3 linked regions of the Cricetulus griseus genome follow. The protein of the gene in region 2 purifies or fractionates together with the protein of the main gene of each other region. This does not show direct contact. Links are inferred from orthologs where the notes say so. Each region holds a gene or a part of one and is shown on either strand. Other genes may lie near its edges.

Region 1 (4,294 bases), about 97 Mb from region 2:
AATTGTGAACTGCCACACTGGTCTGGGAAGGAGAAGAACCCACTTCATCTGAACTGGAAAAGGAGCCGCCAGTAGGCTTAACCACTGAGCCATGACTCCAGCCCCTAGAAACTTTCCTTAATAAAAGCTATGTCTTCAGCAATTCCGGTCCCCTGACAATAATTCCCACAAGAGGCACTGACCCTAACAGAAACACCAGTACCAGGTACGAGAAACCTTCCTTAATAACTATATTAATTCAATTTTTATATGAAGCTGATAAACAGCCAGGTGGTAGTGCACATATTCAATTCCAGCACTTGGCAAGGAGAGGGAGGAGGATCTCTGTGAGTTCAAGGCCAGCCTGGTCTACCAAGTGAGTTCCAAGACAGGCTCCAAAGTTACACAGAGAAAAACCTGTCTTGAAAAACAAACAAACAAAAAGGATGTTATTGAGACAGGGTCTCACTCTGTAGCATCAGTTGTAACTTGCTGTGGAGACAAGGCTGGACTGCCTCAGCCTTCCAACTGTTAGGATTAAAGGTGGGCACCACTACACCTGACTTTTATAAATCATTTTTATTATGATGCTGTTGGTAATTGCTCTAGAATCTGAAATGTATACAGAGCAACATGTTTTAAATTTAAATTCAAAGTTTAGTATCAACTACGAATACTAAAGATCTCTGAAGATAGCAAGTAAGGTCAGACCAATGCCCACGTTAGTCTCCCAATCTCTTAGAAAAAGTGCTCGATTCATTCCTCCCTTTAAGAAGAGACATGGAGAGGCTGGAGCACTGGCTGCTCTTCCGGAGGACCCAGATTCTATTCCTAGTACCCACATGAGAGCTCACAACTGTCTGTAATTCCAGCTCCAGGGAACTCACACCCTCTTCTGGCCTCCAAAGGCACCACAATGGTATACAGATAGTGCAGACACACTTGCAGGCCAAACACTAATATACATAAAATGAAAACTAAAAACAAATCATGTCTTTCTTCAGGGTACATTGTAACATCTTTTCAAGGTAGAAAAGTATTCTCACTAGCAGACACTCACCAAATTCTGTTGTTGTTCACTAATAATGTTTTCAGTCTTCTCAATAAAGGAAAACCATCCAGTTTCCTGATCTCATTATCAGAAAAATCAATAGCATCAAACTGGTCTAAGGTAGCACCTAAATTTTCAATGACAGGGATTTTATATCCTGTAGAGGGGAAAAATACATACAGCAAATATTAATATAAATGAAAGGTCCTGAAAACAGTAGGAGCATCTGATTGTAATTAGACTCAAAGTACTCATTCAAGAAGTATTAAACCGGCACGGGTGCCATGTCACACTCTGTACAAAAATACTGAAGATAAGTGACAAATGAGTTACAGGGTCCTTACTGCCTCGAAGCGTGTGGTCATGCAGTAAACTTGAAGAGGAGGTTGAAGGCAAGAACAAGAACACAGGCGTATACTTAGTAATATTGGTGTCCACTGTTTATGAGAACATCTACAAGGTATTTACACTGTTCAAAGTTCTTAAGAGTGTCAGGCTCTATGTCAAGTTAACACTGCTTACTGTTAATGCTCAAGTCTTGCTGGGACACTGGTGACCAGCCTTCTAAACCATTCACATAACTCAGCAGTATATCCTCATGCTATCCTGACTCACTCTCTTCTCCACCAGCTCCAATTCAGAGCTGAAAATGGTGTCTATACAACCACAAACCACACTGTGAACATCCCCTTGATTGTCTAATGGGCATAACCATCGAGCTAGGTGCCAAAGGAAGAAGAGAAACTTAGTACACAACTTTCACTCAGTTGTGAAAGAGCGCAATAAAATAAGCTTTATCAAGACTGCATGGTCTTCAGAGATGCAGCAGAGACCAAAACTGTGTGCCAAGACAGTAAAAGGGTTCAGATACCTCTGAAATGGACTTTTGTCTGAGAAAGCTAATGTCTAACAAAAGCACTAGGATTTTCTATAGGTCAGCAAGGCATTTTAGCAAATGGCAGAGTATAGTCCCCGAGACTGTGGTTGCCTCATGACACAGTTATATAATCCTAACCCCTTTCAAAGCCATCTCCTGAAAAGTAGATAACTGCACTTTCAATGCTATATTTTGTTATTATTGTCATTTTCTTGTTTTATTCGACACAGGAGACTAGGCTGGCCTCGAACTCAGAGATCCGCCTGCCACTGCCTTCCGAGTGCCGGGCGTGTGCCACCGCTGCCCAGCTAATGCTGTGTTTTGTTTTTGTTTTTTTAAACCAAGCTCTACTCAACAGGTTAGTGTTCACCACCCCTCACATGGGAGTGATGACTATAAGCCTTGGTCAAACAGATCAAGCTAGAAAACACCTTCTTATAAAAGTGAATTATCAGGGGCTGGGGACCTGGTTCTGTGGGGCGAGTGCTTGTTTATCAAGAACAAAATCCTGGGTTCATCCGCAGCACCATATAAACATGGGGCACACGTTTAAACCCAGCGCCGGGAAGTGGAGGCAAGAGGGCCGGAAGTTCGAGAACGTCCCTAACTACACAGCGGTTTGAAGCCAGCTCTGAGTACAGGAGACCCTGTCTCAAAAAACAAATGAGCAGACCCAAAATGGAATTATTGTATAATTAAGATAACTTTGACTTATATCTAATCTACCCTCACGTGTCATATTAACGCATTTGCTAAAAACCAGCCGGTCGCGGTCCGGAAGATACCATTTTCTATTTTCCTGGCCCTCAAACAGTTCAGGCTGCTGAGCATGCCGGGCAAAGCCTAACGAATACGGACCCGGGAAGGAACGGAGAAGCCGTGTCTGTTAGCGGGAGCGGGTAACAGACGGCTCCAAAGGGTCCTGAGGGACCGGCGATCGGAGGAGGTACCCTAAACCCGGGCGGGAGGCCCCCGGGCCAGGCTCCGGCCTCCGCGCACGCGGCGGGGCCCGCTCCTCCCGGCCTCGCGCCGAGCCCGGACACAGCCCGCGATCCCCCTAACTCACCGCGAAGATCCAGCTCGCGGTCCCGCACAGCATTGGTGTACTGCGCCGCCTGCTCGATCAGCTCCGCCGTCAGCTTCACCATCCTGCCGCCGCCGAGTCCCCTCACCTCGGCCACCGGCCTGCGCCTCCCGCCAGTGCCGTGTCCCAGGGTGCACCGCGCCGCGCTGCCAGACAAAACCAATCGGAGCGGCGCTCACCTCGACCACCAGGCTAAAGCAATCGATCGAAGGCACCGCCGGGCGTTGCGATCGTCGTCTTTGCTTCTTGGTTCTTCTTGGCTGGTGCGTTCCTGGAGTGTGGCGAGCCCAGATTCCAGATATTTGTGTCCAAAAGATAAGAACACGAGAGAGGCACTCTCACTTCAGTGAACCTCGAGGCTGGGGTATTTGGGATTGTCCAACAGGGGGCGGACACTCCGCCAAAGCTTCAGGGATTCAGGTTTCTAAGATTTGCGGTCCAGCAGAGACAAGGCTGGGCCATTCGGCTGGACTGCCTTAAGATGGGCAACATCCGAGCTAGTATGGTCACCTTAAAGCCTCAGGGTGGACTTGCGGCGTCTAGACATTTAAGTATTGATGTCGAGGGGCTAGCCAGAGAGATGGCATAGAGGTTAGGGGCACTTGCTGCTTTTGCAAAAGACTTTTGCAAAAGGAGTCTCATTTCAGTACCCAGTTGTGCACCTCACAACTGCTTGTAACTACAGCCCCAGGGATTCGTCGCCCATTTCTAACCTCCTCGGACACCGGCAATCGCAAACATAAAAATAAAATAAAGCTTAAATGATATTCATATTGTAAACTGGGCGTGGCGGGGAACGCCTTTAATCCCAGCATTTGGGAGGCCAGATCTGTGAGATGAGACCAGGTCATTCTGATCTACAGAGCGAGTTCCAGGGCTATGCAGAGAAAACCCGGCTTGAAAAAAACCAACAACAGCAACAAAATTCATATGAAGAGCAGGGGCGTACACACATCAGAAACCTGACATTTGATGAATGCCAACAGAGTGAACACACACACCTGCAGAGCCTTGGCCTCTGTCCCCAAAGACGGCCAGGAACCCAATTCTACGAATTAGTGCGCTTATTTTTTATCTTAGCTTATTAATTAGTGTATATGCCACTTGTTTGTGGGTGCCAGGGGAGGCTTATGGCCTGAGATTCCCTGGAACTAGCTGTTGTAATCCTGTGGACATGTGTATTACAGGCTGAACTCCAGTCCTCTGCAAAAGCAGAAAAGCATTCTTTAAATCTTTTTTTAAAATTACCTGTGTGGTTTTGTGCACATGGGTGAAGATACCCACAGACTTCAGAGATGCTAAA
Region 2 (4,194 bases):
ATAGTCTCATGTAGCCCTGGCTAGTCTTAAACTATGTAGGTGGATTACAGTCATGTACCACCACACCTGGCTACCAGTGGGTTTTCTAAGTTACTTTTCTAATTCATGCAAAGTCTACACTTTAGGTTTTTTAGAGCCCATAAATAAATAAACTTTCTCAAGTTTATTTGGGGACAATGGGACAGAACAATTACAAATTCTTAAAAACAAGTAAACTCGGGGATGGAGAGATGGCTCAGATGTTAAGAGCACTGACTGCTCTTCCAGAGGTCCTGAGTTCAATTCCCAGCAACCATATGGTGGCTCACAACCATCCGTTATGAGATCTGGTGCCTTCTTCTGGTGTGCAGATATACATGGAAGCAGAATGTTGTATACATAATAAATAAATAAAATCTTAAAAAAAAATAGGGAGGTGTGAAGTAAGTAACCTTTACTTGTAGGCTAAATACATTAAAAAAAAAAAAAACCAAACAAGTAAACTCCTGAAGATTGAAACCATAAACCCACCCCTAGAGACAACACAGAAATTCATTCACATTCTAATGTACATTAACAAGATATCTGTTCCCAAATCAAGACGACACTTACTTTTCTCTTTCTTCTATTTCCTTCTGTCTTTCCAGCTCCCGCTGCCTCTGTCGCTCCTCTCTCTGGCGCTTCACTACTTTCTCATAATCATTAGGAAACATAGGATCATATTCATCAGCTAAGGGGATCAGAACTTCCCCTGCAGAAAACCCACTGGGAACAGGGTCCTGAGGAAGAAAAATATTCAAGTGAGTACCATCTTCATATTCTGCAGGGTTATCATAGAATCAAGGTCAAAGGATGATGAAAGAGACCTTCGTGATCATCTAAGGATCTTATATTTCCTAGATGAGTAAACAATTCATAGCAAACTACATCTCACCAGGTGGCAGCATATTGTGGCAATCAAGCAAAAGCTTAATTATTCCTAGAAAAGCACTGTAGAACTTAAAACTGAAACAATTCATGAACTTAATCATTGTTTAAGTGAGTTTTAAACTACCACAGTCATCATTCGAATGACACCTGCAGGAAAATACATGTAAAAGTGGATTATCATTTTCCAGACAGTGTCTCACAGAGCCACAAACTAGGCACAGAGCCAAAGGTGAGCCTGGACAACTCCCAATCCCCCTGCCTCTCTGGAGCCCTGTCCTGTTAAAGACATGCAGCACCATGTTCAAGTTTTTGTTTTGTTTTGTTTTTCAAGACAGGCTTTCTTTGTGTAGCCTTGGCTATCCTGAAACTCGCTCTGTAGACCAGGCTTGATTGCTATGACTGCACTGCCTGCTCTTTCAGAGAACCTAAGTTTGATTCCCATCACCCACATGGTTTTCACAACTGTCTGTAATTCCAGTCCTAGGGAATGTGCCCCCACAGGCAACAGGTACACATGTAGTGCAGGCAAAAACCTCATACATATACAAGTATTTCTAAATAACCACATTGTTCTGTATTTTTGGCAAAGATGGACACTCACTGATATATTAAGAAAAGGAAATTAGAGAACAAAAGGTAGAACTCATCCAAGAAAGATATTCTAAAATTATGTAACTTTTTTTTTTTTTTTTTTTTTTTTTTTCGAGACAGGGTTTCTCTGTGTAGCTTTGGAGCCTATCCCGGCACTTGCTCTGGAGACCAGGCTGGCCTCGAACTCACAGAGATCTGCCCGCCTCTGCCTCCCGAGTGCTGGGATTAAAGGTGCTGGAATTAAAGGCATGTGTCACCAACACCCGGCTTAAAATTATGTAACTTTTAAAGCCTGGAGAGTATGATTAAGAAGATACCTGCTTTTCTTTTTTGCCCATCTTTCACACCTGTTGTTTTCAAAATCAACTATTTTAAGGAATAAAGGTTTTGATGGTAGCAAAGTAAAACCTGAGCTGGAAATGAAACTCTCTTTCAACGGCCTATTGGGGAGACTCTTGTGTGGGGCTGGAGATGGCTCAGTGGTTAGGAGTGCTTATTCTCTATCAGAGGACCAGAATTTGGTTCTCAGCACCCACACCAGAGTGTTTACTGGGCCTAACTCCAGCCCCAAGAGATCTAATGTCCCCTTCTGGCCTCCAAGGGTACACACACACACACACACACACACAGAGATACACAGACACTGACACACACATACCACACACACAGATAAAAAAAAAAAGTCAATCTTAAAAAATAGAGGAAAATATGTGTAAAGCAAACAGGAAATGCATTAAAGCCACAGATATGTGCATGTGCAGGCTTACCTTCAGCCCAGCTGCTACATGAGGTGGTGTGTCTACAATCTGCCGGTCATCTGAGGAGCCTCCTCGCTTTAGGTCGATGACTGGGGCAAGGACTGTACTTTGTTTTGTCCGCTGACTCTGACATCAGAAACAAGAAAAACATACCAATGTTCCAAATTAAAATTCATGCTACTTGCAACACAGACACTTTTTCTACTCTCTATAACCAGCCTCTGCCTGTGATAAAACCATCATTTTAAACAGTAACAGTCTTTAGTATAGTGTCCTTAAGTGCTTTCTGAGGAAGGGTCCTAAGTAACCCAGGCTGGCCTCCAGTGCCCCACATAGCTGGTGATGAACTTGGACTCCTGATCCACCTCCCTCCACATTGCTGAGTGCTGGTATATATCACCAGACCCAGTTTATACAGTGCTGGGGATTTAACACAGGACTTACTGAAAACTGGGCAAACATGCTACCAAGTGAGTTATATCTCCATTCTTTTTGGTCATTTTAAAAGCAGATTTCCTCCACTTTTCTATAAAGTTTACAGTAAATGTGACCACCTTCTGAATAGCCTTAAACTTGCAGGGATCCACCTCTCTGCCTTCCAAGGCAAGCTTCTACTCTACTTCTTTTAGTATAACCTTACTCAACCAATTAAAATTACTTATATACTTACTTGGGTGTGTATGCATGTGTGTTTACATGCAAATACCACAGTGACTATATGGAGGTCAGAGGGACTGGAGGGACAAGTCTGTCCTTGTACCATAGGGTTCTACTTAAACTCTGGTCATCAGGCTGGACTCACTGAGCCATCTCACCATCCTCAAAGTGCATGTTAAACAGCTAGTCTTTGTTTTGTTTTTTTTAAACAAAGTTTAAAATGTACTTTTGATCCGTGTCTCAATCTTTAGCAGCCCCTCTTACCTATCACCATTACCATCTTTGTTTTTCCCCTGGGATATCGTTCTTATGAATGCTTATTCTAGATCCTCTAGCTAACTTACAATAACACAGCTAACTCTGTGTCTGGCATTTCTAGAAGCTGGTTAGACTCAGGGTAAAGCTTGTAGGCAAGAATGTCTCACAGTGAGCTGGTGAACTACATCAAGTTCTCAGGTTGCTAAGATGCCATGGTTGGTCAAATGGAATGATGGTGATCACGAAAAGTTGTGGTACAAACTTTCATTCTTATTAGGGAGTCTAAGCTTTAACAGTGCTTTAAGCAAACAACATGTCATACAAATGCAAAATCACAACATAAACCCCAAAGTTTGCATAACAGGGGTTATGATAATCATTTATTTGCTTATTTTAAATTTAACAGGTATTTCCAAAAATGAAATACAAATGAAACCATAGCTTCATCTTTTAGATACAAGTAAAATTTTTCTCTACCAAATATTTTTACAAGTTTGATTAGTACTATGAGAAACTCACTGAGGAGCCCAAAAGAAACAACATATTAAAGTAATATTCCACCTTGATCTATTAAAATCTATTTGCTCAAGATATTGCTAAAATCTCAAGATATTTGCTAATAGCTGACAATAAAATATATAGCTGGGTGTGGTGGCTCACACCTTTAATCCCAGCACTTGGGAAGCAGAAGTAGATCCCTGAGTTCCAGGACAGCCAGGGTTACACAGAGAAACTCTGCCTTGAAAAACACATACATACATACATACATACATACATACATACATACATACATACATACGTGTATATATCAATAAGCAAAAAAAAAACCCCATAAATTAAAGACTGAGGCAGAAAACCACAAACAGCCTAGACTTCATGTGAAAATATTAATTTCTTGCTCCTAAGCAGCAACTTACAAACTAACTTTATATTCTCTTCCCCCGCCTCTCTCATACACACACACACTGTTAATTTTTGAGTGTTTTGCCTGTGTTATGTCTACCACATGCATGCCTACAGA
Region 3 (4,294 bases), on a different chromosome or scaffold from region 2:
TCTGCCTGGTTTAAGTTATAAATCCCACACTCTTTTGGGGAGGAAGCTCCACTTTGGAGGAGCCAATGATGGCCTGGGCCTTTGCTCACGGCACCTCCTCCCAGTCTAAGTCTGGGTCTTGCTCCTATACTCTAGCCTGGTACAGCGGTGCATCCAGATCAGGGTGTATGTAACCCTCACGCTAATCAGCAGCAGTGTTAGCCATACCTCTGCCTGTGTCTGCATCACACCTAGTAAAGAGCTATGTCCTGCAGCAGAGTGGCCCCTCTGCACATAGCAGACAGCAGCCTGTGGAGCAGCCCTGCCTTGAGTGATAATCTATGGGATAGGCAACACCCCACAGCTCACATTATTTTTTTATTGTACTTTACAAATATAAGGTCATGGCGGTGGTGGCACACACCTTTAGTCCCAGCACTCGGGAGGCAGAGGCAGGCAGATTCTCTGTGAGTTAGAGACCAGCCTGGTCTACAAGAGCTAGTTCCAGGATAGGCTCCAAAGCCACAGAGAAACCCTGTCTCAAAAAACAAAGGAAAAAAAAAGTTTTAAGAAGCAAACTGAACACCAGTCCTTTACCATAGAGCTTGCAAAGTATCATTCCAGACCAGCCCAAGGTTTAGTGATAAAATACTGAGTAGGCTTGCAGCCCCTTCTGAGCCTAACTTCAGGTGATGCTCATAGCTCCTCAGCAAGCAGATCCTCCCTACTCCATGTCTCTCTCCCTTGTGACCAAACCCAAACCCTCTTCTGGACTTCCACTGTCCACTGCCCTCAGCCTGTCTCCCCCTCCCCCCAACTTGCCCAAGACTCTCTCCAGTTTGCCCCTGGCTGCCCCTGTCATGTTCAGTATATCATACTATGGTATGGCTCTCGGATTTGTCTTCCTGTCCCCAGCCCCCAATCTGCCATGGTTCCTACACACTTTCCTTTCTTTGCTATAGCACTAAGCCTATGGCCTCAACAAGTGCCGGTCCAGGTGGGAAGGGTGGGTAGGGACTTCCTGTGTAGCTCTTAGGGATATTCACTCCAAGGCATTGTCAAAGCTTCCTCCCACTTTGCCACCCCTCACCCATCCCCCAGGGGGTCAGTCTACCTGTCCCCACACCCATCCATGCTGAACACCTTCCCAACTCCAGCCTGTTGTGTTGGAACCTGTTTCAACCCACTTGTGGCTCTCTGCTGCCTTAGGGTTATGAACTTGGTGCTCTGGGGCTAAGGAATGATCAGAGACACCCTGCTGGTGACATCAAACAGCTGACCTCTCTCAAAACTAAACAGGAAACAAAACCTTATGACTGACAGACTCCAGCCCACCTTGGTATATCAAAACTCTCCATATTAACGCCCCCCCCCCCAAGTTCACACGGCCATCGGTGGCTCCTCTCTGAACACATGGCTTACTCATGCCTCTGTGCTCCATGGGCTCAAGTCTAACTGTCCTAATAGCTTTCTACCAATCATCCACAACACACTGCTAGAGCACAACAAAGAAAGTATTTGGCAGCAGAGGACTGTGGCTCAGCAGCTATGACCTCTGAATATCCATGGCTTTCCAAGGGCAGGCACTCATTTCAACAGCCCATTCAGAGGCCAGAGAGCTACCCAGGGTATGACAAATGTGAGTCCTGCCCTCAGGACCCATACCATCTGCTGACACATTATCATTCAAAACTGGGGTATGCTGCCTTACCCTTGTAATCCCACCACCTGAAAAGCTGGTTTACTTTGAGCTGGAAGCCAGCCTGGGTAACTTGATGCCAGATCAACTTGGGCTACAGTGTCAGACCTTCAAAGACCAGCTGTGCTTCTTAACTCTTTATTTTCTTTTTTCCAGTTTTTTAAGACAGGGTCTACATTCCCCAGCCTGTACTGTAATTCGATATGTAGACCAGGCTAGCCTTAAACTCAGAGATTCACCTGCCTGTGCCTTCTGAGTACTGGGATTAAGGGGCTGACCCACCACACTTGGCTCTAAAACTTTTATTTTTACTATTTTTTAAAATCAGGCTTTTCTTGATGATCACCTAGTTGGGCATTTAAGATACAGTTAGGTCCAGAGGAGTGGTGCACATCTTTAATTCCAGCACTTGAAAGGAAGAGGCAGGCAGATCTCTGAGTTTAAGGGCGGCCTAGTATACAAACTAGCTCCGGGACAGTCAGAGAAACTCTGTGTCAAAACCATTAAAAAAAGAGAGAGAGAGAAAAAAAAAAAACTAAAGAAAAAACTTCTTGATCTATGTATCTGAAAAGCACAGAAACCTCTGGCCTCAGCCTGCAGAACGGGCTACACAGTTCCTGCCCAAGGAAGGTACAAGCAAGCCTCTGCTTCCCGCCTTCCTGCAGAAACCGTCGTCCCCTCTGCAAAGACAATCCAGGAACTCTCGACCCGGCGCCCGGGAACTGAATCTATGACCCTTCTATGACTCCTTTATGACACACAGACTCTATCTCGGTTGCAGGGCCCCGGGAATGACAGAAACAACAGCGGAAACACCACCGACCGGCTTCGCAGAGGACCCGACAAGCGACCCCAAAGGAGGCGGCTGCGGCGGGGCGGGGGGACTCACGCTGCTGCTGCTCCAGAGCCAGCTTGCACTTGTAGTAACTGTAGAACTCGCCTCCGAACAGAAACGAGAATTTCGGGTTGTCTTTCTGCTTCTCCATCGTCATTTTCTCGAACTCGGGCCCGTTGCGCGCCACGAACTGAGCGAGCTTGTCGATGACATTTCGAAGCTCCTGGTCTGCAGGACGGAGGAAAAGGCGTCAGTGGGAGCAGCCCGAACCCGGGGACCGGGCCGGGGTCCTCTGGGGCGGGCGGGCCGCGGCGAGGCGGCGGTGTACGGGTCCCGAATGGGGCCAAGCGCGCGCGCTGGAATGCGGGACCCACGGGGGAGGCCGCGGGAGGAGCGGCGAGGCCGCAGCGCGCTTCGTCTCTGACCCGGGAACTCGAAGAGGCACGGCCGGCCGCCGGGGGCCCGCGGGGAGAACCCAACGACCTCCGCTCAGGTTCGGGCCTCACCGTCTGGCGGCAGCGGCATCTCCATGGCTGCAGCCGCTGGGAACGTCCTCCGGAGCCTCACGATCGCCCACCAGCACCGGCCGCAGAAGCCGGCCGGAAGTGGCGCGAAGGGAGCCGTTTACGACGACCTCGAGGGCCGCTTCGGCGCGCCATTTACGGCCGTCGCTAGGAAACCCCGGAAGTGAGGACTGGAGGAGGGCGGGAAGAGGCTGCGTGAGGAGTCACGCGCGGGAGGGCTGGCGAGGCGCATGCGTGGGAGCTTCCTGGCGCAGGCGCAGGCTGGGTCGCCGGCCCGCGACGCGGCGGAGCGTGTGGAGCGGCGCCGGCTGGAGTTTGTGCTCTTGCGTCCTTGCGAGACTCTCGCCCGGGTGTTCCCGGGCCTCTCCGGACCTGGCGAAGCACACGATCCCGGCTCGGGGCCCCCGTTCCGACCCGTGTCTGTTGGGTAAGAATTTTGAACTGGGGGCGCCCGGCTCCCCAATATCAGCCACAGACGGAAGTGAGCAACGACGTCGGCTTCTGAAGCGACCGTGCAGACCGTGCTGACAGGGGAGGAGAGCCAATTTTTCTTGTTTTGTTTCTTGTTTGGTTTTTCTACACAGGGCTTCCCTGTGTAGCCTTGACGGACCTGGAACTCAAAGAGATGCGCCTGCCTCTGCCTCCCGAGGGCTGGGATTAAAGGCGTGCGCCACCACCGCCCAGCCATATTTTGTTATTTACTTCTGCTTTTTGGAGATGGGGTCTCAGGAAGCTCAAGCTGACCTCTAACTCCCTGTATAGTTGGGGTGATCTTGTAGCTTGAGTGCTGCGATGACAGGTGTGCATCGCGGTTATGGGGTGTTAAGATTGGAAGCCAGGAATGCGTGCATACTTGGCAAGCACAGAGCTGTACTAAAGAAAAAGAAAAAAATGTATCTTAGTTTGCCAGGCATAGCGGTGCACGCCTTTAATTCCAGCGCTTAGGAGGCAGAGGCAGGCAGGCAGTTCAAGGCTGCCTGATCTACAGAGCAAGTTCCAGAACAGCCAGGACTGGAAAGGACAAAGAAACCATATCTGGAAAAACAAAAACTGATTTAACCATGTATATGTGTCTGGTGTTTTTGTTTTTCGAGACAGGGTTTCTCTATGTAGCTTCGGGGCCTGTCCTGGCACTCCCTCTGTAGACCAGGCTGGCCTCGAACTCACAGAGATCTGCCTGCCTCCACCTCCCGAGTGCTGGGATTAAAGGCGTGCGCCACCAACGCCGGCCATGTCTGGTGGGTTTGAGCAGGTGAC

Evidence for each region.
Region 1: the proteins of Rbm17 (region 2) and Snrpa1 purify together in Homo sapiens (affinity purification with mass spectrometry; 5 studies listed by BioGRID and IntAct, with this or other methods). This does not show direct contact. The link is inferred for Cricetulus griseus from reciprocal best matches to the Homo sapiens genes RBM17 and SNRPA1.
Region 3: the proteins of Rbm17 (region 2) and Cherp purify together in Homo sapiens (co-immunoprecipitation; 4 studies listed by BioGRID and IntAct, counting the BioPlex papers as one, with this or other methods). This does not show direct contact. The link is inferred for Cricetulus griseus from reciprocal best matches to the Homo sapiens genes RBM17 and CHERP.

What each region holds. Positions count from the first base shown.
Region 1 is NC_048596.1:131,213,540-131,217,833, forward strand, and holds the start of Snrpa1 (U2 small nuclear ribonucleoprotein A'), read right to left. Parts: upstream 3,133-4,294; 5' UTR 3,056-3,132; coding exon 2,974-3,055; intron 1,188-2,973; coding exon 1,040-1,187; intron 1-1,039. UniProt on the Homo sapiens protein: Involved in pre-mRNA splicing as component of the spliceosome. Associated with sn-RNP U2, where it contributes to the binding of stem loop IV of U2 snRNA.
Region 2 is NC_048596.1:228,368,664-228,372,857, forward strand, and holds part of Rbm17 (splicing factor 45), read right to left. Parts: intron 2,385-4,194; coding exon 2,268-2,384; intron 759-2,267; coding exon 592-758; intron 1-591. UniProt on the Homo sapiens protein: Splice factor that binds to the single-stranded 3'AG at the exon/intron border and promotes its utilization in the second catalytic step. Involved in the regulation of alternative splicing and the utilization of cryptic splice sites.
Region 3 is NW_023276806.1:247,223,795-247,228,088, forward strand, and holds the start of Cherp (calcium homeostasis endoplasmic reticulum protein), read right to left. Parts: upstream 3,162-4,294; 5' UTR 3,045-3,161; coding exon 3,020-3,044; exon of another isoform or gene 2,939-3,019; intron 2,742-2,938; coding exon 2,568-2,741; intron 1-2,567. UniProt on the Homo sapiens protein: Involved in calcium homeostasis, growth and proliferation.